Linked DNA regions of Astyanax mexicanus. The protein of the gene in region 2 binds, or shares a complex with, the protein of the main gene of each other region. Links are inferred from orthologs where the notes say so. Each region holds a gene or a part of one and is shown on either strand. Other genes may lie near its edges.

The links.
Region 1: lamtor5 (region 2) and lamtor2 share a complex: the UniProt entries of both Homo sapiens proteins name them as parts of the ragulator complex. The link is inferred for Astyanax mexicanus from reciprocal best matches to the Homo sapiens genes LAMTOR5 and LAMTOR2.
Region 3: lamtor5 (region 2) and flcn share a complex: the UniProt entries of both Homo sapiens proteins name them as parts of the lysosomal folliculin complex. The link is inferred for Astyanax mexicanus from reciprocal best matches to the Homo sapiens genes LAMTOR5 and FLCN.
Region 4: lamtor5 (region 2) and fnip1 share a complex: the UniProt entries of both Homo sapiens proteins name them as parts of the lysosomal folliculin complex. The link is inferred for Astyanax mexicanus from reciprocal best matches to the Homo sapiens genes LAMTOR5 and FNIP1.

The regions. Positions count from the first base shown.
Region 1 is NC_064408.1:115,893,323-115,901,108, reverse strand, and holds the start of lamtor2 (ragulator complex protein LAMTOR2), read right to left. Parts: upstream 3,007-7,786; 5' UTR 2,893-3,006; coding exon 2,825-2,892; intron 1,110-2,824; coding exon 947-1,109; intron 1-946. UniProt on the Homo sapiens protein: As part of the Ragulator complex it is involved in amino acid sensing and activation of mTORC1, a signaling complex promoting cell growth in response to growth factors, energy levels, and amino acids.
Region 2 is NC_064419.1:41,212,671-41,220,554, forward strand, and holds the start of lamtor5 (ragulator complex protein LAMTOR5), read left to right. Parts: upstream 1-4,884; 5' UTR 4,885-5,008; coding exon 5,009-5,043; intron 5,044-6,389; coding exon 6,390-6,451; intron 6,452-6,654; coding exon 6,655-6,772; intron 6,773-7,884. UniProt on the Homo sapiens protein: As part of the Ragulator complex it is involved in amino acid sensing and activation of mTORC1, a signaling complex promoting cell growth in response to growth factors, energy levels, and amino acids.
Region 3 is NC_064413.1:8,017,521-8,025,224, forward strand, and holds the start of flcn (folliculin), read left to right. Parts: upstream 1-4,700; 5' UTR 4,701-5,174; intron 5,175-6,204; coding exon 6,205-6,408; intron 6,409-7,704. Other genes in the region: leng9 (leukocyte receptor cluster member 9), read right to left, coding at 2,581-2,635. UniProt on the Homo sapiens protein: Multi-functional protein, involved in both the cellular response to amino acid availability and in the regulation of glycolysis.
Region 4 is NC_064424.1:38,408,919-38,416,067, reverse strand, and holds the start of fnip1 (folliculin-interacting protein 1), read left to right. Parts: upstream 1-4,136; 5' UTR 4,137-4,259; coding exon 4,260-4,348; intron 4,349-7,149. UniProt on the Homo sapiens protein: Binding partner of the GTPase-activating protein FLCN: involved in the cellular response to amino acid availability by regulating the non-canonical mTORC1 signaling cascade controlling the MiT/TFE factors TFEB and TFE3.

The DNA.
Region 1 (7,786 bases), on a different chromosome or scaffold from region 2:
TCATTTAGAGCATTTATTTATTTGCAGAAAATGAGAAATGGCTGAAATAACAAAAAAAAAGATGCAGAGCTTTCAGACCTCAAATAATGCAAAGAAAACAAGTTCATATTCATAAAGTTTTAAGAGTTCAGAAATCAATATTTGGTGGAATAACCCTGGTTTATAATCACAGTTTTCATGCATCTTGGCATGTTCTCCTCCACCAGTCTTACACACTGCTTTTGGATAACTTTATGCCTTTACTCCTGCTGCAACAACTCAAGCAGTTCAGTTTGGTTTGATGGCTTGTGATCATCCATCTTCCTCTTAATTATATTCTAGAGGTTTTCAATTAAGTGGTCTCTTTTTTTTTCCTGAGCTGTATGATGCATTACAATTTTTTGCCAATGTTTTGTTAACTGTCAGTATCAGCTTATACAATCAAATTTTTTATTTGGTAATTTAGTAGTCCAGTATGATCAATGAATAGAATCTGAATGGACCCCATCAGCAAAAGTTTGGCATGCTCAGCAATGGGTTATTAAGTTAAGTAGGAGGTGATCATTTGTGCAACTGCTATAAAATCATAACAATTAAATATTATTTAAACATTTTAAAAGGCAGTAGTGTATATAAGAAAAAAAGCTTTATTTGCTAAACAAAACTTTTCAAATATACTTCAAATATCATGTGACAGGAGTTTGTGAATTGATAATGAAGTGGGAATTCAGACACCTGTATAATTTGTGAGGTGTTACCTTGTGAGTTAGGATGACTACTGGTCAGCATGCTCATGGCAAGGCGCTTTGATAGTGGGTAGAGGAACTCCAGACTACATTAATTACACTTGAAATCTACAGAATAGATGTCTAAACAAACAAGCCACCCACAAACCGCAAGTATAAATAAATAGAAACTGTAAACATAGGACCGTAAGTTGATTTTTGATTTTTTTGACAGTTATTACCATACAGTCCATGAGAATAAACTTCAGCTTGTCCTCGTTGAAGGCTTGATGTCCGTTCTTATCATAGGCTGCCCAGATGTTGCTGGCAATAGCTGCAGTTACTCGCGCGTCTGTGTCTCCATAGCCAGAATAGGCCAGAAGTGACCCTTCATTATTTAGTAACCTAACACAGAAAGAAAGAAAGAAAGTGACATCGGAAAATTGGTTACAGCAAGCATCAAAACCAACACAACATCCGCTGTCCTGACAAGTTTTTGCCCAGTTAGAAGCCTAACAATGCAGTTTAGACCTTCATAAAGATACATTAATTCAAGGATTCAAGGAGATTTTATTGTCATTTGCATCACGTGGTACATGAGGTGGAACGAAATTGTGATCTCATGATCCAGTTTACACCCAAGAGCTGTTGTTAAAATAGATATATAGATAAAATAAGATAACAAAATAAAAAAAAAAACAATAAAAATAGAATATACCAAATAGTATGGAAGCCCATTCCCGCCACCTAAAAAAATAAAAAATAATCCAGCACATTTTTTTTATTATTATTAAGTAAACCGCTATATAGTAATAGTATCCATTGTGCGTCTTTGTCTCACCTGCCTCTGTCTCTGTACAGTATACTAGTATCTCAAAATATTGAGATAGTATATCAAAATAATGACTCAGTATCTCAAAAATAATGACTTATTATCTCAAAATATTGAGATAGTATTTCAAAATAATGACTTAGTATCAAAAAATATTGAGATAGTATGTCAAAATAATGACTTACTTTCTCAAAATAATGACTTGTGTCAAAATATCGAGATATTGCAGTTTACTTAATAATAATAATAAAAAAAATGCTGGATTTTTTTTTTTTTTAAGTGGCGGGAATGGGCTTCCATAAAATAAAGATAAAGATAAATACCCTAAAAAAAAGTAGACAATTAGCAGCAACAGTACATCCTACTACATTTTTTTATGTAGCATGATAACACAGCACTGCTACTGCAGAGTTCAGAACATTTCCTCTTTATACATTTTTGAATGTGGAATATGGAGCTACACTAACATTTACTTCCTCCATTAAAGCTCACTTTTAAACTTAGTAAGTCAGCACATACAAATAAAAAATAAAAAATACAGGGAAATACCTGCATTTAAAGTATTTGAATAATGATATGATTCATAATTAAATAACATTTTTTTTAACAAATGACACCTATTATATATAACTTAATTTAGAAAATATAATACTGATGTGATATTTACACAAAAAAAATATATATATATATTAAAAGCTTAGCCTTACGGAGAAAAAAAGTTTAAGTAATCGCAATTTATCACTATTATTAATAACATTTACTACAGCAACAGTTTCTACACATCTAGGGTGGCTTAAAACTTGATGTTATATCATATAAAAACTATTATTCGCAAATTTTGTTAAACAAAAGCTTTATTACTTTTTATACCTTAATACTTGACACTAGGTTGACCATTTAATTCCCATTTAATTTATATTATCTTTACTAAAGCAAAACAGTGATGTGAATGTCTTAAATTACTTTATTTGTTGTATAAAAACAACCTTTAGTACATTAACTGGTTTATACTTAACTAGGTTAGATAGGTTAGCTAGCTAGCTATGCTAAGAAGATAAATTAATCAGAAACAGAAGCGCTGCTTACTTAACACTGACACTATCATATCGATTGAAGCAGATTTAACACGTAAACAAACATTAAACCACATTAATAAACTGATTTCACTGTGTTTCTATATATTTATCTCACTCTGAACCTATACTAGCTAATGAAGCTAACGAGTTAGCTTAGCAACCTTAGCCACAATATTTCCACATCTGCGGTAAACGGAGCGGATAATACTCACAGCGTGCTCTGGACTCCGTTAGTGTTGGCCTGGCTGAGCACCTGAGTTAAAGCTTTAGGTCTTAACATGATCAGAAAACCCAGTAAATCCCTCAAAATACTACAGAAACCAGGACTTTTACAGCAGCCAGCATTAACTTACACACACACACACATCAGCTGACTAACACACTTCCGCAACACAGGCACGAGGGGGATTGTGGGAAATGTAGTCTTGGGCCCAATAAGCGTAGATAGTTTATTCATACAATTATATACTTAAACTAACGAGTACAAAAAGGTTTTTTTTTTTTTTAATGAGCATATATAGTTAAGTATGCACCTTGATAAGTAAACTAAATGAGTATAAACAGTTTGTTTTTAGCTTAATAAGTACAGATTGTTCATTTATGCACCTTTATAATTAAGATATTTCATTTATGCATCTTTATAATTAAACTAAAGAGTATAAACAGTTTGTTTTTGGCTAAATGAGTATAGATCAATCATTTATGCGTCTTCATAATTAAAGTAAAGAGAACAAACTGTTTATTTTTTATAAAATGAGCATAGCTAGTTCATTTATGTGTCTTTATAATTCAACTAAAGAGTACAAACAGTTTGTTTTTGGCTAAATGAGTATAGATTGATCATTTATGCACCTTTATAATTAAACTAAAGATTTCAAACGATTTATTTTTGATAAAATGATCATAGGTAGTTAATTGATGCACCTTTATAATTTCACTGAAGAGTTTAAGGAGTTTGTTTTTTATAAAATGAGCATGGATAGTTTACTTCCGTGCCTTTATAAATAAACTAAAGATTTCAAACTGTTTATTTTTTATAAAATGAGCATAGGTAGTTCATTTATGCATCTTTATAATTAAACTATAGAAACAGTTTGTTTTTGATAAAATGATCATAGGTAGTTAATTTATGCAGCTTTATCATCAAACTAAAGAGAATACACAGTTTGTTTTTGATACAAAAAAGAGTATAGACAGTTCATTTATGCATCTTTATAATAAAACTAAATATAAAAAGGTTGTTTTTATTGAAATGATAAAAGATATGTAGATGAAAATAGCTGATCATAAATATTGTATATACAATGCTGTAAAAAAGTATTAGTCCCCATACAGATTTATGTTTTTTTGTGCTTTTTTTTATTATACTTACATTTTCAAACTAAGTTTAATATCAGACAAAGATAGCATGAATAAACATAAAAAGTACAATGTTTTCTCCATTTGTGAATTATAGCTCTCACTGTGGTCCTTTTCCAGACTGATAGATGATCAATGGCTTTGCAATTTTTGGAAAATTTAAGTACATAGTATTGTAAATGTAGTGATAATTATAAGTATGACAAAAAAGCAAAAACAACAGAAATCTGTAAGGGGCAAATATTTTTCACAGCACTGTAGTAGGGGATATAAGCATGTCCTACTGTAAAGCTATATTCTTGGTTTTCCTTTTAAATGTCTCATATCCATTACTTTACTTGTGTTTAATTTTTTTCTGTACTGTGCCATTAGGACTGACACACTGCTGATGTCATGGAAAAAAAATAATTTCTGTTGTTTGGACCAAGAGAAATTCTCCAAAATCATTTTGAATTTAATAAAATCTTTTTACTTTGACTTCCATTAAAGTCCTGTAAATATCCTGAAGGAAACATTCCTTCAGTGTGAAACACTTGAAAATTGGTTGTTTTTAAGACCGTTTAATGGTTGTGCCAAAGGTACCTTAGTCTACCTCGCCTAGCTTAATGTTGCGTGTACAGTGTCTCTTCGGTGTCAAACAATAGAGAAATAATGCAGGTTTTTTTCTTTTTTGCCAACCTTTTGGCCAAGCAATTGCGTGGTTTGCGTGGTGGTAAAATCCGCCCCTTATTATGGGCCCTATTTTAGCGATCTACAGGTGAGCCTCAACCATGCACCGCACAGCTTAATTGAGGGCATGCCAGTGTGTTTTTGCTATCATAACATTAGAAAAAGTATGACATGTACTAATTCTCTTAAATTGATTAAGAGCAGGTGTCACTTGCCTTTCCCTTTAAGAGTCAGGTGCACTATTTCAAGGGTGCATCTCTTCTGCGCATCTCTTTAGAGGAAACTGACCTGCTCATTTACGCTGTGAAGGTAAGCCAGCAATTTAACAGGAAAATCAATTATATTTTTTTTCTTGATTTTGTTTATTGTTGATGTAAAGGTTGGGTTTGTGCACTGCAGCTGTGTGTAACAAATAGTGTATGTGTGCTGAGCACACAGAATGCACCCAGAGTTGCTAAGATAGGTATGGACGTCTGACTGGTGACTGTTGACAGGGTTTAAATCAGTCAGTGGAGCACCTGTGTTTGCCACTGCCAAGATAGCAATACACCAGATATTTACCTGAACACACCTCACTTCCAGACCACCACGCCCATTGCCGTAGATATATTCTTAAACTCTGTTGCTATTTTAGTGACACAGGCTGAAAAAAAGACTGTTGACGGGTTGTAAGATAGCAATTAGCATCACTACGCACTTTACACAGAGTGTAAGATAGAGCCCTATATGTTATATGTAACTAATGACTTCTTGACGTGAGTCACAAGACAACTGTTGAACAAACTGGGATTCAAAATTAGGGTGGATTAGGGTGTAATTTCAGAGACATGTACTAGTGCTCACACATTAACGCATTAATTCTAATTTAAAAGCAACTACCAGTAGTCGTAAGCCCAAGGAAATTAAACGCTAGAAGCTATTTAAACTAATGTACGTTTCTCTAAGCAGTTTTGGTGGCTTGTGCTGACATTTTATTCAGCTATTCTAATTATTGGTTATTCTATGTTCAATATAAAAAAATACTTATTTGAGGGACAATTCTGATATTTAATCTTATATATTATGTTTTGTAATACTAGGATACATGTCACAAGTCATGTGACAGTAGTATGTTAATGGATCAAGTGTTACCTCTGGGAATTTTGGAACTTGTGAATGCCCACATATGTATAAGTTGTGAGGTGTTATCTTGTGAGTGGGGTTGAATGTTAGGTAAAGTGAATTATGGGAATTGGAGGGAGGACTGATAGTGGGAGCAGATGGATGAGATATTTACCATTCCTTGATCTACAGTGTAGCAGGAATACATCATAAGCAGTAATTACCACCCCCAGTGGACAGAAAATTGCAGTGGGTGGTAATGCTGGTGTCCAGCAGCATCTGGCTTGAACTGTCTGTGTGAACAGTTAAGCAACTGTGGCATAAATCAATCACACCCATTTCAATACAGTATGCATATTAAATGCAGTGTCCTTTAGCCTCAATTAAACATTGCAAAAGTCATGGGACACAATACCAGTTCCATGACATTTGGCATGACTGCGTATACTGTACTTAAGCACTGCATCCTCAACCTCACTTGCTTGACAGGCTGCAAATGCCTGAGTTTGTATCCTTGTCATGTTTGAATGTTCTCTCACACTGCAGTACCCACAATGCATCAAACAAATACTCATATGGTCTATAAATAAAAATATGAGTGCATCTCAAATAATCTAAATATCATTCATATAGATATATATATATCACACAGAGTGATCTATTTTAAGCGTTTATTTATTTTATTGTTGTTGATTATGGCTTACGGTCAATGAAAATCACAAATCAGTTTCTCAGAAAATTAGAATATTATATAAAACAAATTGGTACTTTTGGCTGTGTACATAGTGTGCCAAGTCCTGCTGGAAAATGAAATCTACATCTCCATGAAAGTTAAGGTCAGCAGAGGGAAGCATGAAGTGCTGTAAGATTTTGTGGGAAAACAAACTTTAGACTTGATAATAAAACACAGTGGATCAACACCAGCAGATGACATGTCTCTCCAAACATCACTGATTATCAGTAAATTTTACATTTCATTTGTAAATCAAGGGATCAGAGGCTGGAGGAAGAGTGGAGAGACACACAGTCCAAGCTGATTGAGGTCTAGTGTGAAGTTTCTACAATCAGTGATGGTTTGGAGAGACATGTCATCTGCTGGTGTTGATCCACTGTGTTTTATTATCAAGTCTAAAGTCTGTGCAGTTTTGTTTTCCCACAAAATCTTACAGCACTTAATGCTTCCCTCTGCATCTGACAACTTTTATGGAGATGTGGATTTCATTCTCCAGCAGGACTTTGCACACTGCCCACACTGCCAAAAGTACCAACTGGTCTTATATAATATTAAAATTTTCTGAGACACTGATTTTTGGGTTTTCATTGACTGTAAACCATAATCATCAACAATTAAAGAAATAAACACCTAAAATAGATCACTCTGTTTGTAATACATCTATATAATATAGGAGTTTCACTTTTTGAACTGAATTACTGACAAAGTAACTTATCTGGATTGGATTCTGATCAGACATTAGCCACATGTAGTTAAACTCAGTAGTTGTGTGTCTCTGGTTAGTCAAACTGAAATCTGATTGCTGTTGTGGCGTAGAATTGGCAAATTTGCTTGTTACATAGCAGTTATTACTGGTGTTCCAGTTAAACTGGGAGGGATTTTGGTTGTTAAATGCATCTTGTAGTAATGGATGCCTTTACAGTGCTATAGTAAATTGTTAATATGCTTTGTCACATCCTGAACAGGTTTGATTTACTGGATTTGTATGAGTTAAGTGTCTTGAGTGCATTTTTATGTAGCTTGGCCTGATCCAGATGCAATTATGAGATTGTCACAATACCCAAAGGGGAATAAAGCCAGATGTAAATGTGGTTAGCATAATTTTGGGTCCATAAAGAACCGTGTTGGTAATAAAGGTGTGAACACCTAAACAAAAAACTGTTCTTCACACTTTAATACTGGTTATTTTGATGGCATTGCTGCTGAAATCTGAGTTTTGTTTTTAAATACGTAAAACTATAGATACTATGAAAGTGTCAGTGAGTTAAAGTTGTAACCTCGTGCTCATGAACTCATTCAACTGGCTTCTGGT
Region 2 (7,884 bases):
CTTCAGTCACCCTCTAAAGGATCGAGATGAGCAGTTACACTTTCTATTACAGTACTCAAAAGTTTTACAGGCTCATTAGATTCTCTTAGGCCCAATCGCAATTCACCCCTTGGCCCTACCACTAACCTCATCCCTCTGTTTTGGGGTCGGCCATTAAGTTTGGCCACGGGACAGATATTTTCCAAGCCATTATGTGGCGGGCCACAAGCGGAGGGGGGGGGGGATGTTGGGGTTAGTATATGGGGGATAATATGAAGTTTAATAGGATGGGGTGCTACTAGTAGCTCTCCAGCCCAGAGGGTTGTTAAACCCAATTGCAGAACAGCTCATCTCAAAGTAGGTAAACACAATAAATAAATAAATAAACACACCGCTCCTCACGCGAGTTTGAACCCAAGTCATCTCGGTCACGGTCCAATACACTACTGCTGTCCCAGCTAGTGAATTGGGACACAGCTAGGAAAAAAAATGTGATAAGGACATAGGGAGCGGAAACAGGCGGAAACTAAAGTCAAGCCGTGCACGACAGAGAGAGAGACAGGGGAGGAATGTAAACAAAAGCTCGCCAGAGAAGCATTTTATTTATTTATTTTTTTTTCATTATCGTTCATTACAGTTCAGACAACCTCACGGGCCATATGTTTCATGCTTGCGGTCCACATCTCACCCTCAGTGTGTAGTCATTTCCCCATGGCCTCCTCCGTAGGTAAACTTGTAGATTATACAATATATTATTAGCAACTATCTGCTCTCAATGCTGTAGGCTGTAAAACCGATCATGAAAAGCAATTAATACAAGAAATAAAGCATACATCAAATGAACTTACAATTTAGGCATAATAACTTGACATTTCGAATCTAATTAAGAACATAAAAACTAACCAGTTTCCTCAAATTGTTTAAGTAAAGTAAACAGGTTCAAATCAACTATCTATAAACATATAGCAATATTTATTTATTTATCTATTTATTTATTTATTTATTTATTTAGGTCCGCCCCCACCCCCCTCTTTGGAGGACAAATTAAGCTTTATTAGCTTTAATAAACAATTACATTAGAGAGATAGTAATATAAGCAAAATAACAAGCAAAAGAAGGCAGGAGAACAAGAGAGCAGAACAGGTACAATATATATAGGCGGGAGAGAAAACAGAGAAAAGGGATAGAGAAAGAGATGGAATCTGTGCCCAATTGGTGTGTATGTGTGTGTATAGTAACATTCAGGTAGAGGTGCTGGATGTATGGAATAGTTGCCATTATGGTTGTGTTAGTGGTGTATTGGTGGTCTGTGTGTAAGAGCTGATGACATCATGCAAAAGGTTGTTCACTACTGACCATGTCTTCATGTGTTCTTAAATTCTGTTTTTGGTAGATGCTAATATTTTAGCAGTTAGCAATCCTAGCAACTGATCATATGTTTTTCATCTACACTTTACACACACAGTGTGTGTGGAGCTCAGATCTGCCTACGGCTGCTTAAAAAACACAGTCTCACACGCAGAGCTCTTCAGTGAGGATAACGGGATTGGTCTGATTGTGACTCATGGCGAATTAAAGCCTTATTACACACGACATATAATTATGTTTATTAAACATATTCATCATGAATAGAATATAAAGAGTTGGATGTATCGGGACAGGGCTCTGCAGAAGATGTTCAGAGAACAGCATTCTCTGCTCGAACTGATTTGATTTTGGTGCCTGGAAATAGAGAGAGTAGTTACATTCTCTACTCACATTTCCTATTTGCATAAATATTGAGTTCATAAATAAACTCGATTCAAATGCGATTGACTCCTGGCTCACTAGCCTGCAAGTAACGAGAGGAAACAGGAAGCTTGTGAAATGAGAAGCGGCATTTCTTATTGATCGGAAACGGACGACATAAAACCTGGCCTTGCGTTAATCCCTCCGGCTACTTTAGCCGAGCAGAGCTCAGTGTATAACAGGACTAAATATACTGAAGTTTTTATCACAATACTACATTTTTGTCCTCCATAACTTTTACAAAATGACTTTTGATATATTCTTGTTCTGTTTTGTTTCACCTTTGGTCTGTTCTCTATGCTCATCTGTTCATGTGTAGCTCCGCCCCCTTGTTACTCACCCCAAGGTGTTTCCTGTCCCCATCCATGTGTATAAATAGACCCCTTTGTTTCAGTAACTTACAATTTGGATAAAATAACTTGACATTTTGAGTTTAATTAACCATATTAGTCTCTATATACTCAAAGTACAATAGTATGCATTCATAAAGCATTATAAAGTGGACTATAAATATTTATAGAAATGTATAACACTTTACAGCCATGTTTATTATGCATTATGAATTGTGATTATGATGCATCATCAGCTGTGCTTATAAGATGTTATATGTCAATACCCAGAACCGAAACATAGCTCCTTTAACAAAGCATGCTATAATTAACCACTTTTAACCACTCATATTAACTTATATTACTTTATAATGTGTTATAATGTGTCGTTGTACACTTTAAGTAAAGTGAAAAATGTCCAAAAAGGGGATATACTGAATATGCTGTATTAATAGCAAGAGAAATGTAACATTTTAACCCCGATGCATAACATACTACAAGCTTATTACAGGTTATGATGCATTATGATCTCAGTTCATAATTAAGCAATAATACATGAGAGGGAGTGATATAACATGTAATAAAATAACTTTAATATGAAAAAAATTGCGATTATACCACAGTTTCATTATCACAGTTTATTGAAAGATTAAAGAAGACGAGAAGCGCTGCATTGTTGCTAGGTTACCTGTACTGTATGTGGCATATTAATACATGGAGAGCTTTGGTTACAGTGCATTACCGGCTGATAGCGGCACTCATAGAACGCCTCTCAGCCAATCACATTGTAGGGTCGGAACTAACTGTGGTATAATGCATAATAAACATGGCTGTATATGATTTTTTAATATATAAATATTTAAAGCCATGTTTATAATGCTTTACGAATGTACTATTGTGTGTTATCAGAATGTTTAAATAGTCTAATAGACACAACATTTATAGAAAGTTAGAAATTAATAAAAAGTAATTAACAAATTGTGTTATATTGTGTTATTTAAGCACTTAAAAAAAATCCAGATGACACTGCAGACACACATATGGCAAGATTAACATTCCTCTGTATTTGTACTAATGTGTTCATTCATAAATCTTGAAAAATGTATTGTTATACAGAGTTTATATGAAATTTAAACAACTATACTGCCCATAATATAGATTATGACCCCCTGGAACATCTACTGAACAAGCAGTCAGGAAGCTCAAATCCACAGCGGGGGTCTTTTCAGAATAAAAGAATAAGAAAGAGATTGATAAGAAACTCCTTTAGGGTTCACAAAGAGGAAATCCATTCATGTCTTTTCAGCCTGAGCTGAGCTGTCTCCATTGTTAGAATCAATTCTTGGTAGAAAAAAAATGTCAGCAAACATAAAAGACAAAGTTTTGCCGTGTCATTGTCACAGGAGGGACAAATCAGCAGTGATTTTTGATGATAACACATACCCTTTTAAGAGTGAGTGGAGGAAAGAATTGCTCTTTTCTTGGAGCTTTAGTCAGAGACGAGGGTTCATCTGATATCCACATTCACACTGAACACCCCCGGCCCCCGGAGACCCCACCAACAATAGCGGCTAAATGTGAGCTGAGAGTCAAAAGCTGCTTGCAGGGTGAAAAGGGGAACATGCTGGTGGTCTGCTTGTTTTCAGAGCTCTGGAGAAGCTGTTAATATTCTGTAATATTGAGGCTGTACATACTGAACCCAGAAATTAATCTCACAAAGGGATGATGCAAAATAACAGAGATAGGTCATTATCTTGTCAGATCAAATGACATTAGTGAAGGGTGGCAACTAGCCAATCAATCAATCAACTTTATTTTTATCTTTATCTCTGCACTGTAAACCCATACGTTGTTTGAACTCAAATGATTTAAGTCTGTTTTACATAAAATTGGATATTTCTAAACAATACTCAACTATTTTGAGTTAGTTGAACATTTGTAGGCACAAATATACAACATTCAAACTGAGATGAACCAACTTATAATAACTGAGTTTAGTCTGTCGCCATTAACAGCTTCTTTTCCATTGGCTTCTGTTACAATCTATTTGCATACTGGGTGTGTCCAACAGTTTCTGACTGACACTCACCATCAGTGTGTAGTGATTCCCCCTGGGCTACCTTAGAAATAAATCAAGTTCTCCTTTAGTTGTAATGACTTGATATTTAAATTTATGCTAACTCAAGTTTTCATTCCCCATTATTAAAAAAAAATGAGCAAACCGGCTGCCTTAAAAACGTTAAGTAAACTCAACTTATCTGGTCTTAGAGTATAAAAGAAATAAAAAAGTTAAATCAACTTCCCCTTTAGTTGTAATAACTTGATGTTCTAAGTTATGCTAACTTAAGTTTTCATTCCCCATTACTTAACGATTTTAAGGCAACCGTTTTTTTCTTTTCAATATACAGCTGAGCATTAACAACTTAACCTATTCAGACATGAATTATGTTCCATTGATGGGAAAATATAAGAATGCTATAATAATAATAATAATAATAATAATAATAATAATAATAATAATAATAATAATAATAATAATAATAATAATAATAATAATAATTAAACATATTTACTTTATTATTATATATAATAAAGTACATATATACTTTATTATTGTTTAATGATTGAGGGTCTTATCTTATTTTTATTGTATATCTTTTTATAAAATTATATATTATGCTTGTTTTAGATTCACTGCTGTTAAAGTAGCGCTAGATGGCGCCACTCCATTACACGCAGCGCTCCGGTGCGCGTGTTTGATCCTCACAGCTTTCCGTAGCAGACTGATCACGTGCACACAGGGTCAGCTGATTAGGGTGTATACAGTGTACAACAGTAGTTAGCCTGTTAGCGGCTCAATTCCCCTCTGATTCTCTTTAATATTGCAATCTGCAATATTTATTATTATAGTTATGGAGGCAACGCTGGAGCAGCACCTGGACGACACGTGAGCTCCATTATTATTCAGCAGCGGCTTTTATACAGCGCTGAGCGGACCCGCGCTGTTTATACAGTTACCCTTAACTAACTTAGCTTAACTGGCCTTACCCAACTCTGACTTCTTGTGTTAATGGTCTGGGAGCGTATCTTATAACCCATTTAACCCCTAATTTTACCATTAAACCCCTATTTTTATCATTGAACCCCTAATTTTACCATTTAAGCCCTAATTTTACCATTAAACCCCTATTTTTATCATTGAACCCCTAATTTTACCATTTAACCCCTAATTTTATCATTTAACCCATAATTTTTATCATTTAACCCATAATTGTATCATTTAACACCTAATTTTATCGTTTAACCCCTAATTTTATAATTTAACCCATAATTTTACCCTTAATCCCTAATTTTACAATTTAATTCCTAATGGAATCCCTACATTCTTTACTGCGACTAGCCTTACCTGAGTCTGACTGGGTGTGTTTATGGTCTGGGAGTGTATCTTTAACCCTTTTTTTATAATTTAACCCCTAATTTGATCATTTAACCTCTAATTTTTTATCATTTAACCCCTAAGGTTAGGCATACTGATATGACATATGCCTTCTATACAGTCAGCAAATTATTTATCTAGCTAGTGCTTGTTGTCACTCTTTTTAAAAATAAATCAAATAATAATCCCATATCATGGGATGCTTGGTATATGTGTAAAGTAATTAAATAATATATTTTTCTGCGTATGCTTAACTCTATCTACTTTATCTATAATTTCAGAATAATTTGAGTACAAGTACACGTTGTTTGATTGTGCTTCTTCAGTACTGTGATATACGTGTATATTTTTCAAAATGTAATTTTTTTCCCCCTTTCCTTAAAAAAAAACAAGTAGCCAATTTGTAGAAGTTTACATACACCAGCTGTTCTTAAACTGTGGTACTCAAATCGTCCCAAAGTGGTACCTTACGTAAGGTAGTAAGCACTGTAGTTCATTTCTTGGCTCTCATGTTTTTCTCAGTAGGAATACTGTATAATTCAGAAACAATTATCAATCAAATAACTTACCATGCTAAATTACAGACTGCAAAAGCAGGCAAGCTCCACACATATATAGGTTGTATATATAGTATACTAAAATCTTATTTAAAAAAAGCACACTCCTTGTTTAATCTCTGTAGAGAAGAATTGAATCTTTGGAACAGATAAACATGATCCTATCGGTACCATGCATAATGGAGTTGATGGGGTTATGGCTGATTGGTGTTGTTATTTGATTCTTGTTGTTTAGTACATTTTCCCACTGTTATAAATGCCTGTTATGAATGTCTGTTATCTGTTTATTTATTTCGTCAGAATGAAAAGTCCTTCAATCGTTGGGGTTTTGTGTACAGATGCCCAGGGTCATAATCTCGGATGTAAGTATTGGTTATCATTTAGTATAATACAAATAAATACAGTAGAAATATTATTAATCAGCTTAGTCCTGGATTGTCAAAAAAGCCAACTTGATATCTGTTTCAGTGTTTTGCAATTATTTTGACAGTTTTGTGTTAAAATAAATAAATAAAATAAAAAGAAAAACAGTATGTTTTTGACTAGTTGTGTGGTGTTTCTGCAGGCCGCGGCACCCTGTCTGATGAGCACGGTGGGGTTGTATCTGTCCTGGCGAAACAGGCTGCCTCTCTTACTAAAGACCCTACAGACTCTCCCACCGTGTGCCTCGAGTCTGACTCTGGGTAAGAGAACTCATATTCTCACTTATACAGTGTATTACTTTAACATGACTATGCCAGTTCTTTAGGTACACCAACAGATAGCATGCTGATAACAAACAGTCTGTTAAAAGCCTGTTATGAACTGAAATGACTGGATGACGTTTGTAACAGGATAGTAATCCAAAACATTCCTCAGATCTACCATAGAGTACCAGAATAGAGACACACTAAAGCTTGTGGATGTTCCTGCAGATGCCAAAACCTTTGCATGTTTTATTGAACGTTATGAACGACATAAACAATTCAATAAAACAGTTTGTTCAGTGCATAAACACTGTTAATATTTTAAGTCCTCTTAACTCCCTACCTGATTCAGTACACCATTACTGTGTGCATAAATTTCCACTAATTTCATAACAAGATTTTAGGAGCAATAGAAAATTACACTGAACTGCTAAAACTAATGGGACAGCAATATGTAAATTGGTTTAAAAGAAATTCATCAGGGGAGGGCTTGTTTAAGCTGTGAGGTGTTATCTAGTAAGTTAGGGTGTACACTATTCAGTGTGCTCATAGCAAGACACTAGAGAGACACTAGACAACTAGGGTTTGGAGGTGGAGGAAGTCAAGTCGAAGAGTCTCCACCTGCAGCAGAACTACAGCAGATCTTGTGATGTGGCTCTTAGAAAGAATAAAAGTACAACTTCCTCTAATATTATAACATTAAACTGCATGAATATCAGCTGGAATAACAGCTTATATATATATATATATATATATATATATATATATATATATATAAGAGGAAATTAAATATTTATTTTTTAAATCTACCTGGCCTATCTAATATTTAAATGGTAGTATTTATTAATATAAATATATATTAATTTAGGTCTGCATTTTCCCCTTTTATAACAACAAAAAAAATATTAATAACTGTAATTCTGATAAACCAAGCTTCTTGTTTGCAGTTTTTAAAACAAAGAAACAGTTTTACAAAGAATTTAGAGAGAAGATTATCACTATCATTAATAGTGTGCATTATTTGGTTACAGAGAGATTTTTTATTGTATGTTTATATTTTTAGAATAAATAGAAACAGCGTCACAGGTGTGTGAGGGGGGTATCAACCC
Region 3 (7,704 bases), on a different chromosome or scaffold from region 2:
GACATATTAAAACCACTTTTTTGTAATAGACCACTGAAGTCGTGCGTCATTCTGTGACTTCAGGCCTCCGTGTCTAAGCGTTTTTTTCTCTATGAGGTAAATGAATGAGCTTTTTAAAAAACTGTTCTCTATCACATTCTGTGGTAAATTAAATATGTTCAGAACCCTGTACGTTTTATTCTGTGTAAATTTTCTTCCTGAACAACACTGGGTCCTCTGATTTTCAAGATTGTTTAAGAGTTGTAATCAGAAAAATGCTAGCTTTAAGCTAATGCTACAGTGCAGCTGCAAAGATCGGCAGGGGACTTTTTTCAGCACAACACCAGAGAACTCTGGCCATAAGTTTACATCATATTAAACTTAGCTGATCCAACTAATGAACTAACTGCCCTCACTGAAGAGAGCTGAGAGTGTTACAGCAGGAAATCACTAAAACAGGACAGTGATACTCCAGGAGCCAGCTTTAAACACTGTAGCATGTTTTAACATTTACTCTCTTTATTATGCAGTGAAATAAATAAAAAATGTTTGGTGTTTCTGTCTCGTTGGTTTAGTACCTTAAGCCAAGTTAAGGTTTGTCCATATAATAGGATTCAGTGAAAAAACACATATTAAGGTTTTTTATCTTAAGTATTTTAGACTCTTTGGTTTCTTAGATAGTTAGCTAGCTCTGTGGTTTTGGAGTAACTCTCTCCTGCTAGTTTTCCTGCTTTATCACTCAGCTCGCCTCAGCCAGCAGATAGGTAGTTGATTAGTTGATTAGTTATTTGTTGGTTGATTATTTGGGTCATGTGTTGTAATTAGTATAAAGTAATGACCCTAATTAAATACTAAACCCGCTGGGAAGCGCTACTCCTGAACTGAGAGCCACTCTCTCTTAGTATCTGCCTTTTAAAGCTCTAACACAGACTACACTGCTCAACGTCACTATACTGAAAGAGTTTCACCTCTCTAAACGCTTTAATGATCCTCTGTGAAGAAGAAGAATAATCCAAAACACGATCCAGCCGGAGTTCGCTGGTGTACTGCAGAATCGAGTCCCCTAGCATTCACTGCTGCTGTGCTGTGACGTCAGTTAAGTATTAGCTTAAAGCTAGCATTTTTCTTATTACTACTCTTAAATAATCTTGAAATTCAGAGGATCCAGTGATGTTCAGGAGAAAAAATGTACATAGAATAAAACATACAGGGTTCTGAACATATTTATTTGCCACATAATGTGACAAGAGGCCAATTTTTGAAAAGCCCATACATTTTTTCCATTTAACAGAAATTCTTAGACACAGAACCCTAAATATGGGAAAAAACAACATGGTGCCGACTAAAAAATTACGACACAACTTCAGTGGTCTATAATAAAACACATTTGTAGACACAGTGTGAATCACAGCACAGAAGTATTGGGTGTGTCTGAAAGTGGAATTATACTGTCTGTGAGTTTTTAATCCCAGCTTTAACCTTCACTCCTTTTTCAGCCCACCCCAGAATCTGTAAAAGCACTGAAAGAACTGAGCTTCACATTCAGAAACGACTTCAGTAGAGTTTACCTATTTAACTTTATGATACAAGGTGAGGACATACCTATCTGACCTTTGAACTCTTGACAGTTCATGAAATGGTAATGGCGCACACAAACACACGTGTAATATTCTTAATACTCATTATCAAACCTATGTTGCTCTGTTAATATTACTAAAAGCCCCTGGTAACATTGTTAAATACTAAATGTGTGTGTTTTGAGAAGCATATAGTAAAGTTAAAATAGAAAACACAAAGCAAGAATATGACAAAACACTCCCCACAAATCACCAAAACGCACTCCTCTCTTCACACCTCTCTTCAGAGACCGGTGTGGGTGTGGCAAACAAATGTTTGTTTACATTACCATGGCAACACTCTACCTCAAGATAGAATCTGCATCCAGAACTGCTCCCCATTAAAAAAATAGTGCAATATATGAAACTTATTCTGTGTAACAGGGGTAACTTTTGGTCTTTCTTTCCTTGGAAGGTTCCGATGAGAGCCAGTTTCATCACTATCAAAATGTAGCGTACAGACAAGGTATGCTTGAATTTCCCATGTATACCATAACAAAATGGGGGGGTGTTTTAAGTGACAGAATGAAAAAAAGTTTCACACAAACTTTGTTGCTTTTTTATGAAGCAGTGTTTCTGAGCGTAGTGTCCGCTCAAAGTCATTTGGCCATCTCCTAGTGAGTTCAATATGTAGCAAATGCTAGTGAATGATTTTATTTTTTTGCTTAAACGGTTGCTAAGCGACAGCTCACAAACTCACAGATTCTGGTTGCTCAGACTCGAAGAGAGGGGGCAAGGCTATGTTAGTAACCTTGTGATTGGTCAGGTTTTTTGCTGATGCCAGCCTGACCCACTTTCAGACAAGCCGACTCCACATCCAGGGTAGAGTATTAATATTGTGTCTACTACTACTACTACTACTACTACAACAACAACTCATAATAATGGCATATCTAGTAACTGGTCCTTGAGCCAAAAGGTCAGTGCTCAACAGCATACATACAGGGTGATATTGTGAGGGTTTGTATAGGTTGTAAAGAAAGACCTATTTGGGTGTGTGGATCTTCTATGAGGGGATTCCCTGGTCCTTCTTCTTCCATGACAGATGGTGTAATCTGGGAAACCACGGGGATGTCCACCTCAGAGGCCAGAGCTGATCTAGGTTCAAATAAAGGCCTGTTATTCCTGACAGTTCCTAAAACAGGAACTGGAAATAGTCTAAACACACTTCAGGGTGTTACATAAGGAGGAAGAGATTAAAACTGAACCCAAAAAGACAAACACGACTAAACTTTCAATAGGAAAGTAACGTTAGGTAAAAAACATCCAAATAGAAGCACAGATGATTATTCATTGACAGTAAAGCAGTCATATAATAAAGGACGGTAAGGTAAAAGGTCTAAACTGAGTTCCTTGTTTGAACTCTCAGGTCCACCTTAAACGCAGAAGCAGATACGTACCAACGCCTGGAGACCCACTGTGCAACTGCTGGAGCATTTAAGGTGGAACGGACAATTCCAACGAGAACTTTAGCTTCATTTAAGGGTGAAAACACTACTAAACGTACTGACCTCGACTATATAACATATACAACGTTGTTATTAACTTAAAACAACAACCAAAAACAATAGTTGCCGTTAGAATTCGGTGCGGATTCGCTTACCTTAAAAACCGACTCTTACAAAAGCTGTCTAAATGCATACATAAAAGTCCCTTATAAAAATAAATAAAAAAATAAATAAAAACAATATTTCACGTACTTTAAAATGTTTTATATACGACCATTAACAAAAGTTACACCGGTGTAAACATCTAGAATCAACAAATATATAAGTTAGAGCATAAATATTTAACTAAATAAAAATAGAGTTAACGCTAGCTAACTAGGTTAAGGTAACGTAATGTTGCTGGTGGTATACGCTATATATAGTTATATATGTTTACAAAAATAAGTAAAATACTGGTAACACTTTACAATAAGGGTACATCAATAAACAGCACCTTATGAGAGTGATAAACATTGTTAAATGTTTTAGTAATGTCACAACTAACTAGCTATTAAATGAGTTTCTTGTTCAATTTTCACTTCCACCTTAAAAGCAGCAGCGGATACAGCAAGGGATATGTACCAACTCCTGGAGACCCAACGTGTAACGGCTGAAGCATTTAAGGTGGGACGGACAATTCCAAAAGAAGCTAACTTTTACACAAACTTCGACTATATAACCTATATATTAAAATATTAAGCAAAAATAACACCAAAAACAGTTATAGTTAACGTTACCATTCGGTGTGGATTTGCTCACCTTAAACACCGAGCCGGTAACCAGGGAGTTTGATGATTGCTAGTGTGAGCGTGTAAGTGTGTGTGTATTAGATCCAGGGGAATATTTCACAATGACATCATCTGACGGGATACCTGACACGTGTTTTAGCTGAAACTGTACAGAGAGGAGAACTCCCACTCGAGAATGTGTTCCAGGTTTGCTGGTCTACCAGAGGGCGCTCCAGAGTGAGTTTAAAATAAATGAATGTAGCAAAATTATACTTTATTAATGCTTAATAATTTTTCATACTGAAAATTGTAAGTTACTTATTTTCTCAACTCAGAACAATATTACATGTTTTATTCCTACACACATATTTTCTTAAGCTTTTAAACTCCATTTACAGTGGTATGAAAACCTTTGGGCACCCCTGATCATTTTTATGATTTTTCTTTAGAAATCTTTGGTTGTTAGGATCAGCAATTTCAGTTAAACATATCATATAGCAGACGAACACAGTGACAACTGTGAAGTGAAATGAAGTTTATAGGATTTACAGAAAGTGTAATATATTCCCGAGTGAAATGAAGGTTTAATAATTTACTGATTCCACAGTAGTATTTTTAAGTGTGATTTCTTAGAAAACAGAGTGTAATAAAACAGGGAGGTTAAGATACTTTTATTTGCTAGCTAACATGTTTTTTATTTTTTTTACTGGATTTATGATAACTAAAATAACTAAAATCTGTCAAATTAGCAAGCGTATTTTAAAAGATATTTTTAAAAAGTATAAAAAAACACACTAGCGCCATAATGAAATTTTACTACACAGAGTCCTACCTGAGCTTTTCTTTGTGCTGCTGTAATCAGTTCTAAAACGAATTAATTTTGTTTAAATAATAATAGTTTACAAGAGGGCTTTTATTTTGAAGGGAGAGTCATTTCACGGACCTGCAGCTGTTCGCTTTGTTATGGAGGAAGCGCGTGACTGCTCGTCACGTGACAGAGGGGTCTGAAGATGGAGTAATGGAGAGTTTATTGTGAATTTGGGGGAATTATTAACGTTATAAATCTGCGGGGACGGCCTGAAAGCGGGCAGAATGCAGTAACATGTGGTCGTACTGTGATTTATCACCTGTGAGAGCATTACCTGTGGTGATTCTGCTGTTATAGTTTTTATTTATTGGGTGAATTAACGCTGATTAACTCACTCTTGAGTTCTGTTACCTGATTTACATCCTAATAATCACAGTTTAATTAATAAGTCTGCTCATCAGAGAGGCGATTAAACGCGTTATTACTGATAAACAGAGCGCAGGAATAGAGGAGCCTCCTGTTCAGAAGTCTGGGTGTTACAGAAACAGTAAATAAGGTACGTAAACATGATTTACACTTTGTTACCTACTACATACAGTAACTTGTGCTTCTACTCAGTGGCCACTTTATTAGAAACGCCTACTACAGTACCTTGTGCGTCACCTCAGTGTGGCCACTTTATTAAAAAACCTACTACATACAGTACCTTGTGTTTCTCCTTAGTGGCCACTTTATTAGAAACACCTACTACAGTACCTTGTGTTTCTCCTCAGTGGCCACTTTATTAGAAACACCTACTACAGTACCTTGTGTTTCTCCTCAGTGGCCACTTTATTAGAAACACCTACTACAGTACCGTGTGCTTCCACTCAGTGGCCACTATATTACAAACACCTACTACAGTACTGTGTGCTTCTATTCAGTGGCCACTTTATTAGAAACACCTCCTACTGTACCTTCTTTTTTTTACTTTTTGTGTCCACTTTATTAGAAACACCTACTACAGTACCTTGTGTTTCCATTTTTTGAGGCCACTTTATTAGAAACACCTACTACAGTACCTTGTGTTTCCACTTTTTGTGGCCACTTTATTAGAAACACCTACTACAGTACCTTGTGTTTCCACTCAGTGTGGCCACTTTATTAGAAACACCTACTACAGTACCTTGTGTTTCCACTTTTTGTGACCACTTTATTAGAAACGCCTACTACAGTACCTTGTGCGTCACCTCAGTGTGGCCACTTTATTAGAAACGCCTACTACAGTACCTTGTGCGTCACCTCAGTGGCCACTATATTAGAAACACCTCCCACTGTACCTTCTTTTTTTTCTTTTTTTTTAAACTTTTTGTGTCCACTTTATTAGAAACATCTTCCACAGAACTTTGTGCTTCCACTCACTCTGGCCACTTTATTAGAAACACCTACTACAGTACCTTGTGCTTCTCCTCAGTGTCCACTTTATTTAAAAAAAAAAACCTACTATTTGCTTCCACTCTGTGGCCACTTTATTGGAAACCCATAAAATGTAATTCTACGGACTGGGCCATTTTAGAACCACCACGTTGTTTATTGTTTATCCCCAGATGAATGCTTTGGTTGCTCTTTGCCATTTCTGTGAACTGCACGGGCCCCGGACCCTGTTCTGCACCGAGGCCGTCCATCCACCAGCCCCCTCGCCCCCTCAGCCGGGGTCCGCCCTGCTGGGCGATCGGGAGGCAGAGAGAGAGGGAGAGGGGCTGACCATGAGGGCCAACAGCTCTGCCACACAGAGAGCCGACATGTGTGAGGTGAGAGAGGCTGTGAAGTAGTTTATATACACTTGCGTGGCCAAAGGTTGGTGGATAATTGCTCATCTAAAGTTTAGATATCAAAACCAAGAGTAATGAATGAGTTCAAGGCTCCGTACTAACTAGTGAGGGGACAATCCACCTTTTTGAGCTCTGATCCGATTCCGATATAAAACTGATATAAAACTGCCGATACAGATACAAATACAGATAAAAGGGCTCTTTTAGTTTATTATTAGTACTATGATTAAGGTTACATAATAATGCTGAAACAGACCACACAGCCAATTGAAGTGTATACACAAGTGCATTTAATGTAAAGTCATTTATTTCACGCACTTTATATACAAACACACAATAGTTTTCTTTCAAATTAAATATTTAAATTTTTATCAAATATAAAAAAAAAGTTCAATATGAAATGTGTTAAATATTAAATACATGGCTCTAGACTAATCTTTTTTGCACTGGTCGCGCAGGACTCTTTTATTTTCGCACGTAGCGTAGTGGATTAGCTGCAATGGCTGCAATAAATTAACTAAATTAATGGCTGTTTTTAATAACAGATGGGTGTGTTTGTGCTGGTTAGTGTTTGTAGATCCTGTGGTTTAATGGGATATCTGGATTATGACTACAGTTTACAGTCTGTAGTTAATACCTTTACAACACCAGAATGCAGCTGTCAGTGCAATGTTAGCTAGGCTAACAGACTGCAGATGTTAATGGAGATGGCTAACGGCTAACCAGCGATGCTAACTGTATTTCCGAACTAAATTAATCACTGTTTTTAACAGCAGATGTGTGTGTGTGTTTGTGCTGGTTAGTGTTTGTAGATCCTGTGGTTTTATAGGATATGTAGATTACGTCTATAGTTTACTCCAGTAGTTAATATCTTTACAACACCAGAATGCAGTTGTCAGTTTAATGCTAGCTAGGCTAACAGACTGCTGGTGTTAAACTCTCCAGATTTTTTTAAAGACAAACAGCTAAAGCTGCTAGAGGTTCAGGGTAAACTGTTAAACTGGAATCCGGATCAGTGATGCGTTTAGTGTTTATGTTACTGCTGGTTTATTGTTCAGCTCAAGCTGCGGACTGTAGTATGTATCGGTAAGTGGATAGACCGCGGTCACCCGATATCTGACACCCTGATTACATCAATATTGGCCCCGATATTGTATGTTAACTCACAATAGCACATTAAAAACCAGGAGAAGTAGAAGTAAATTTACAGAATATATTAATAAACACATTGGGTTTAATTTACTTTATTGTTTTGTATTATTTGTTCTTTAATTT
Region 4 (7,149 bases), on a different chromosome or scaffold from region 2:
CCGGTGTCTTTGTCCTACCTGTACATTCACCTTGATTCAGACATATACTTATTGTTTATAAAAATATTAATTATTAATAAAATGTTAAGATTAGAAATGTTTCTCAACAAAAACTATGCATTTAAGTAGCTGGTAACTGAGTAATCCTTTTCTGTTTAATGTGTTTGGACATGTTTGGTCTGTGACTGTACATCTAACCTAATCAGCTGTTATTTGTTTTTTCCTTTGTGAACTCTGGCACAGCTGTAAGTCAGGTTTTATTTAAAAGAGAGAATTTCCTAAATTAGAGACTTTAATGTATAATAGAAGAAAAGAAATAAAGCTGTTGTAAAGTCTCATTGCCTGTATTTGTTTATTAACAAGAGGTCAAGAGGATTTTATTGTCATTACAACTAAGTACAGGTACATAATGTAATAAAATTACGTTCCTCCGGAACCATGGTGCAACATGGAAGAACAATACAATAGACAACATATAGTGCAGAAGTGTAACGAAAATCTATAACACTACAATAAATACAGTAAATACAACAGATGAGACAATTTAACAGACAGGACAGTGCAGTACCGTATATGGTACAATGAAATGTGATAGAGTGGTAGAATAAGGTGCAGAGATATGTAACATATAGAACATACATGATCACAGCACTTACTGAGGTAGTGAGTTTATAGATTTTTTGGTAAGAAGAAAGTATTGCTGTTTTTTGAGAGTGTTTGTAGAGTGAGGTTTGTAGGGTGGGTTCAGTACAGTCTTTGTGTTTGTGAAGAGTGGTTGGGGGGTTTAATTCAGTTCTGTGTGAGTGTGTTGGGTGTGTGGTGGGGATTTCAGCTCCGTCTCTGTGTTGAGGAGTTTGACTGCCTGGTGGATGAAGCTGTTGCAGAGTCTGGTAGTGGAGGCTCAGATGCTCTGGACGACATCAGAGCAAAGAGTCCGTGTGAGTGATGGTTGGGGTCATCCACAATGCTGGATACTTTGCAGTGTCTGTGATGGAGGGGAGAGAGACTCTGATGATCTTCTCAGCTGTCCTTGCTGTCCACTGGTCTGAAGTCCTCCTCTCTGCTACTGTAATCAGCAGTGTTGTGTATGATCGCATTCATATTTGTTGTGAAGACTAAACTTAACGACTACGTTTACAAATACTGAACGTGCCACTGAATGCGCAGCAAATCCAGAGCCATTCTTATAACAGAAATTGACTGCAAACTGGTATGGGGAGCCCACGAAAGAGTCAGTCCAATATTAATGGGAGTAAATGGGCTTAAACGGCCAACTCAAATAAAAAATGGTAAATATCCACTTTGCCAGAGTATTCCTTGAATTTTGAAAGTATAATAATGTATATTTTTTTAACAAGGAAATAAAACACCTTTATATTTCAGTTTTACTACAGTAAATGGGTTTTAGACAGTAAAGAAGCTGCATTACTGATACTGTCAACATTTGATATTGATGTGTGGTGAGAAAACAAGTATAATTTAATTTAAAAAAAAAAAACGCTTGGTATAGGATAATATATTTATTTTGGGAGTAGTGAAGATCTTGGGCTTGTGATGGAAGTGTAGAAACAGGTTCTGTTAAAAAAGAATAGCAGCCTATTTATTAAGAGAAAACAAATAAACGTGAACTAGTACATTTTTAAATGAACTTGTTCATTTAAATTAGTGTGAACTGAACTTTGAACTTGTTTATTTTAAATGTGATCTGGCACAACACTGGTAACCAGAGCTCCATTCCAACCACTGTCCTGGCCCGTCTGATTAACTGGCCTTCATTTCTTAATTTTTGCCATAATATAGATTAGAATACTACTTAAATATGCCTATTTACTAACTATATACCAAATCTACCTCTACTTTAAGAAAGACGCAGAAGTTTAAATTGGGTACAAAACTGCCTGTTTTTCTTCATAGTTTGGAAGATTTTAGAAAAAGTAAAAGAATGAAATTTAAGGTGTCCAAACTTTTATTAGTTAAATAAGAGATTTTGTCAATATCACAATAACAGTTGTGACCAATAATTACTCATTATAATAGTTATTATTATATATATTATATATAATTATTATTATTATTATTATTATTATTTATAATTACCATTATATTATTTTGGTTTGTCCAATATTTTATAGAAAAGCTTCTACAAGATGTTAAAGGTTTGAGATTGTTTGAGGGTTTCTCGGCTAAAACCCAGCTGAAGAGCATCTGCTCACCTAGAGAAAATAAACCCTCACAGCATAAAGGGATTTTAGAAGAAAAGTTGATCTTTATCTGAACTACTTACCAGGATTTAACCCAGTCATAGTAAAAAACTATATAATATATAATAAAGAGTAAAAATTCTACCAAAAAGTTTCTAATACTGCAGTAAAAATAATGAACTGCCGCGTTTCTTAGTTTGACCGGATTTTTTTTATCATGCGCTTCTGAGCAGCAATAGGTGAACTGGAGTTTGGCCAAAGCTTATTTATAGAAAGAATGTCCACTTTCTGTCTCCCAGTTATAGCAGAAAATTACTGTTAAACACTAGAGAGAGTCCGCGAGAGAGTCATTAATTGGAATGAATAAGGCTAAACGGCTAAAAACACAATTACAAATAGTAACTTACTGCTTGCTTGGGATATTCATTTAATTTAGACCCAAGTGTTTCCCTAGAAATCCAAGAAATCTTACCTGTCTATTTTAGTTTCATTTTGGTAAACGGGTTTAAGTCGCTGTATTACTGCTACTGTGAGCTGATTGACTGACTGACTGACTGGAATGAGCTGATGCTGCAGGTACAGCCAGAGCAGCTTAGAGAAAAAAAGGTTGTAAAAAAATATATTGCCTGCAGTGCTGAAAATGTTTTATACATTTCTGTGTCGAGTGTATTGAAATGACTAATTATAAGTGTTAAGTATAAAAAAAATTAAATATTCATAATTTATCATTTTGCTCAGCTGCTCCATAGATATCTTATACGTATATGTATATGCCTGTGAGCTGCTCAATATAACCCCCATATGAATTCTCTCCAGAGCGCCCTCTGGTGTCAGACAAACCCGGAAGAAATTATCAAGTGGGTTTTCGCCCCTCTATACGCTCTCTGGTTTTATGCTGCTTTAACACAACTTGGTAAATATGTATTAGAAGCGGTCTGATACAAGAACAGTTCAGTCCAGACTCATTATGTTCCACTAACGAGATCCAGCTCATCAGTTCCCGCTCACTAAAGCCCGGCTTCAGGAATCCAGGCAGCTTCCATCTGCTACATACAAGCTGAATAAATTAAATATGAGTATTTACTGTATTATAATGGGGTATACTGCGTAATGTTTATAAAGAACAAGAAACGTTAACACATTTAATTAATATGATTTAAGTTGGAGTAAACCAACATTATTTATTATGAAAATATTAGTTCAGTAAGGTGCAACTAACAGCTTAGTAGTTTCTGTATAAAAGGTATAGATAAAAATATGCTTCTTAAAATACAAGAAATAATAGTATACAAAGTATAATTGAAAATGATATAGGTAAAAATTATAATACATGAATAAATATATCAGTGTCAGCCCCAGTGTCACTTTTAAAACCTAATTCTAATTCTTCATTTCCCATTCTGTATAGAGAGAAATAATAGGTTTTCATCCATTTTTCATCTATGTCCTTCACAAACATAAGTATATGAAAAATATTGTTTCTTCTTTACTTGATTATCTTTTTTTTTGCATCTTGTAACAATTGTAGGTTGGATTGTACCACCAGATCTGTGTTACAAAATGCAAGAATTGACCATTTAGAGTCCTGATTGTGAGAGGCAGAAGTGAAGAACAAGAAATTGGGAAACTGCATAGAGAATCCATTTTACATTCACTATACTAAATGGAAAAAATAAACAATTTATACCTAGGCTTTATAAGTTTTTATACACCATTTTTTGTTTTCAAATTTAGCCTTAGATGGTCAGAAAACTGACCTTATAATCACTGACCGTGTATGCGCATTAATCTCATAAACACGATTATAATGACAATTCCTACTGGAAGGAGCATAACCCCAAACCCCAAGCCTCCGGCCTGACCACGTGGTGTCTCTCCGGAAATAGCAGCCAATCAGCGCGGAGAAGCGGGCGGTGTCGTTTCTGAGCTGCTCGTGTGAGTAATGCGAGTCATATGACCAGGCCGCGGAGCAAGTGGGTCTCGCGGAGCGCGGTGTGCGCGAGGTCGGGTCGGTAAACGCGCTGTTTGTGTGTGAATGCGGGGAGCCGCGGCTCCGCCATGCCGCCCACGCTCTTCCAGAAACTCTTCAACAAGCGGGGCCCGCTCTCTCCGCCGCCCCGGAGCAGCACGGAGGACCCCGCGCTCAGGTACGGATCCCCGCCCGCCCGCCCGCGGATCCTCGAGCTAATCTATAGCACTGGAGTTTAGGTAACACCGCTTACTGTGTGGTAAATGACCCAAATTGTCATCAGTGAAGCGGTTTATTTGTGAGTCGGATTGTATTTAATCTGTGTGTGTGTGTGTGTGTGTGTGTGTGTGTGTGTGTGTGTGTGCGCGCGCGCGTGCGTGCGTGTGTGTGTGCGTGTGTGTTAGCCGTTAGCTGAGTGGCTAGCTGTCATGCTAGCGAGTTGTCTCCTGCGTCTTGTGTGCTGTTGTCAGTGTTGGGAAGGTTACTTTTAAAATGTAATCCCTTACAGGTTACTGATTACATCACTCAAAATGTAATTTGTAACGTAATCAGTTACATTACTTCAAGTGAGTAACGTAATCTGATTACTTTGGATTACTTACAATATTGTCATTTTTTTAAGCCTGAATGAATGTAGCAACCACATCTTGCATATTATTGTTTTATTTTTCCTTCCAGTTAATAGATAGACAAATAAAACAGCCTTTTCAATCACCCTATAAAAATACTTATGAAACCATTTAATCAAACAATTTTATAAAACACTTCTATAAATTGATGATAAAATCATTAAAAACCAAACAATGTAACAACAACTGTAAGCTAACTATTTGCAGGTTTGCCACTTTCTGCAGGTGGATTTTTTGCCAGGATTATCTAGGGGTGTAAATCACAAGATTCATTACAATACGATACAATACGATTATTTTAGTCAGCGATACGATAATGTACGATACCTCAAATTGTCTTTATACGATACAATTCGGTCCAATAGGATTTAATGCGATTACAATCTGTTCCTTTTCTAAGAACTCACAAATGCAAACAAAATATAATTTGAATGTTTTATTATTAAATGTCAAATGCAGTGTAATCATAAACAGTAAACAATAATTCACTTCAACACTTTAATTTCCATTATTTAAGTTCCATTTGAGAACATCAAATGCAGAAGAAAAAAAAAAGCGCCTGTTATATTTAGAGTTTACAATGTGTGTATGGATGTTGATGATGAATAGTCAATCATTCTCTACATTTCCTGATTCAGTAGGGTCTTGACAAACAAGTTACAAAATTTGTAATTTATATCACAATGCATTGAAGAGTTACACTGCATTATATTAGGTGTCCACCAGGCGTCTCCAAAGTGTTCAAAACCTCTCCAGTAAATCTGTCTCTATACAGCCAGAGTTTGTAATATTTTTGTTTGTTTGTGATAAAATAAATGAATGTAAGTCTATTTCAGAGTAATATTAATACTTTTTGATGAAATGACAAACAAAATCACACGTATGCGCGCTGTGGGCGCACTTATGTTTAGCAGAGGGAATTTGGTGACAGCGGTTAGGCATGCCCCTCCCCCAGCCATTAGGAGACCAATCAGGACAAATTACGTACCAATGTTTTCGTCTAAGGGTGGACTATTGGTTGAAATAGGTGTCAATCACTTTTGTGACGCTAGAGAAAGGCTATGACCTGATTTGACTGGATTGGATTGATCCAGCGCTCACGTTATTGGTTCAAAAGACGATCACTCAAGAAAAATAGTGGTTTGTGGACCAATAAAAAACACAGAATCTAGAAGAGGACATCCTTAGCTTTGTATTCACGTACAACTTTACGTGAAAATATTACATTGTGTGGTCGCTAGGAGCTTGAGAATATTACGTTTCAGCTGCGCTGAAAATAAACGCATGTTTGTGAGGAGAAGTGAGCAGGTGAATAAAGGACTTTATGGATATTTTATCTGCGATTCAGTGCTGTATTGTGGATGCTGTGATAGTAAGTGAATTTTCTATAATGTAATATGATGTTATTTTATATACTAATAATATTTTATAAGGCTATTTTGTTGGGGAGGCGTGTTCCCCATGTAAACAATGTGAAAAAAAACAGGCTTTTTTTTTCAGTTGGCGATTTCTGGCGACTGGTTTCATGTAGATGGTTGTAAATTTGCATGCAGGTAGTTAAATTAGTAGTTACTAAAGAATATGAGTCGGTTATTTGGTCGGTGTGTTTAGAATATTTGATGCTTATAAGCATTCTACTTTACATAGTCAGAACGGGCCCGCCGATGGGCTAGGGGGCGCTTCTGCAGTGAAAACATTCTGAGCAGGAGGTTGTGAATCATAGAATATTTTGATGACGTGATTTATGTGAATGTGATTGCGTTTTGTCAGTGTTGGATTGGAAGACGATTGTAACGGATTACAGTTACTCATAATTTGTAATCTGATTACGTAACGCCGTTACACGTAATCCGTTACTTCCCAACACTGGCTGTTGTCGCGCAGAGACTGGTGTAGTTATCTGCTGTAGGACAGTATTAAAGTCTGGTGTAGTTATCTGCTGTAGGACAGTAGCGGAGTCTGGTGTAGTTATCTGCTGTAGGACAGTAGTAAAGTCTGGTGTAGTTATCTGCTGTAGGACAGTAGCGGAGTCTGGTGTAGTTATCTGCTGTAGGACAGTAGTGGAGTCTGGTGTAGTTATCTGCTGTAGGACAGTAGTGGAGTCTGGTGTAGTTATCTGCTGTAGGACAGTTGCGGAGTCTGGTGTAGTTATCTGCTGTAGGACAGTTGCGGAGTCTGGTGTAGTTATCTGCTGTAGGACAGTAGCGGAGTCTGGTGTAGTTATCTGCTGTAGGACAGTAGCTGAGTCTGGTGTAGTTATCTGCTGTAGGACAGTAGTGGAGTCTGGTGTAATTATCTGCTGTAGGACAGTAGCGGAATCTGGTGTAGTTATCTGCTGTAGGACAGTAGT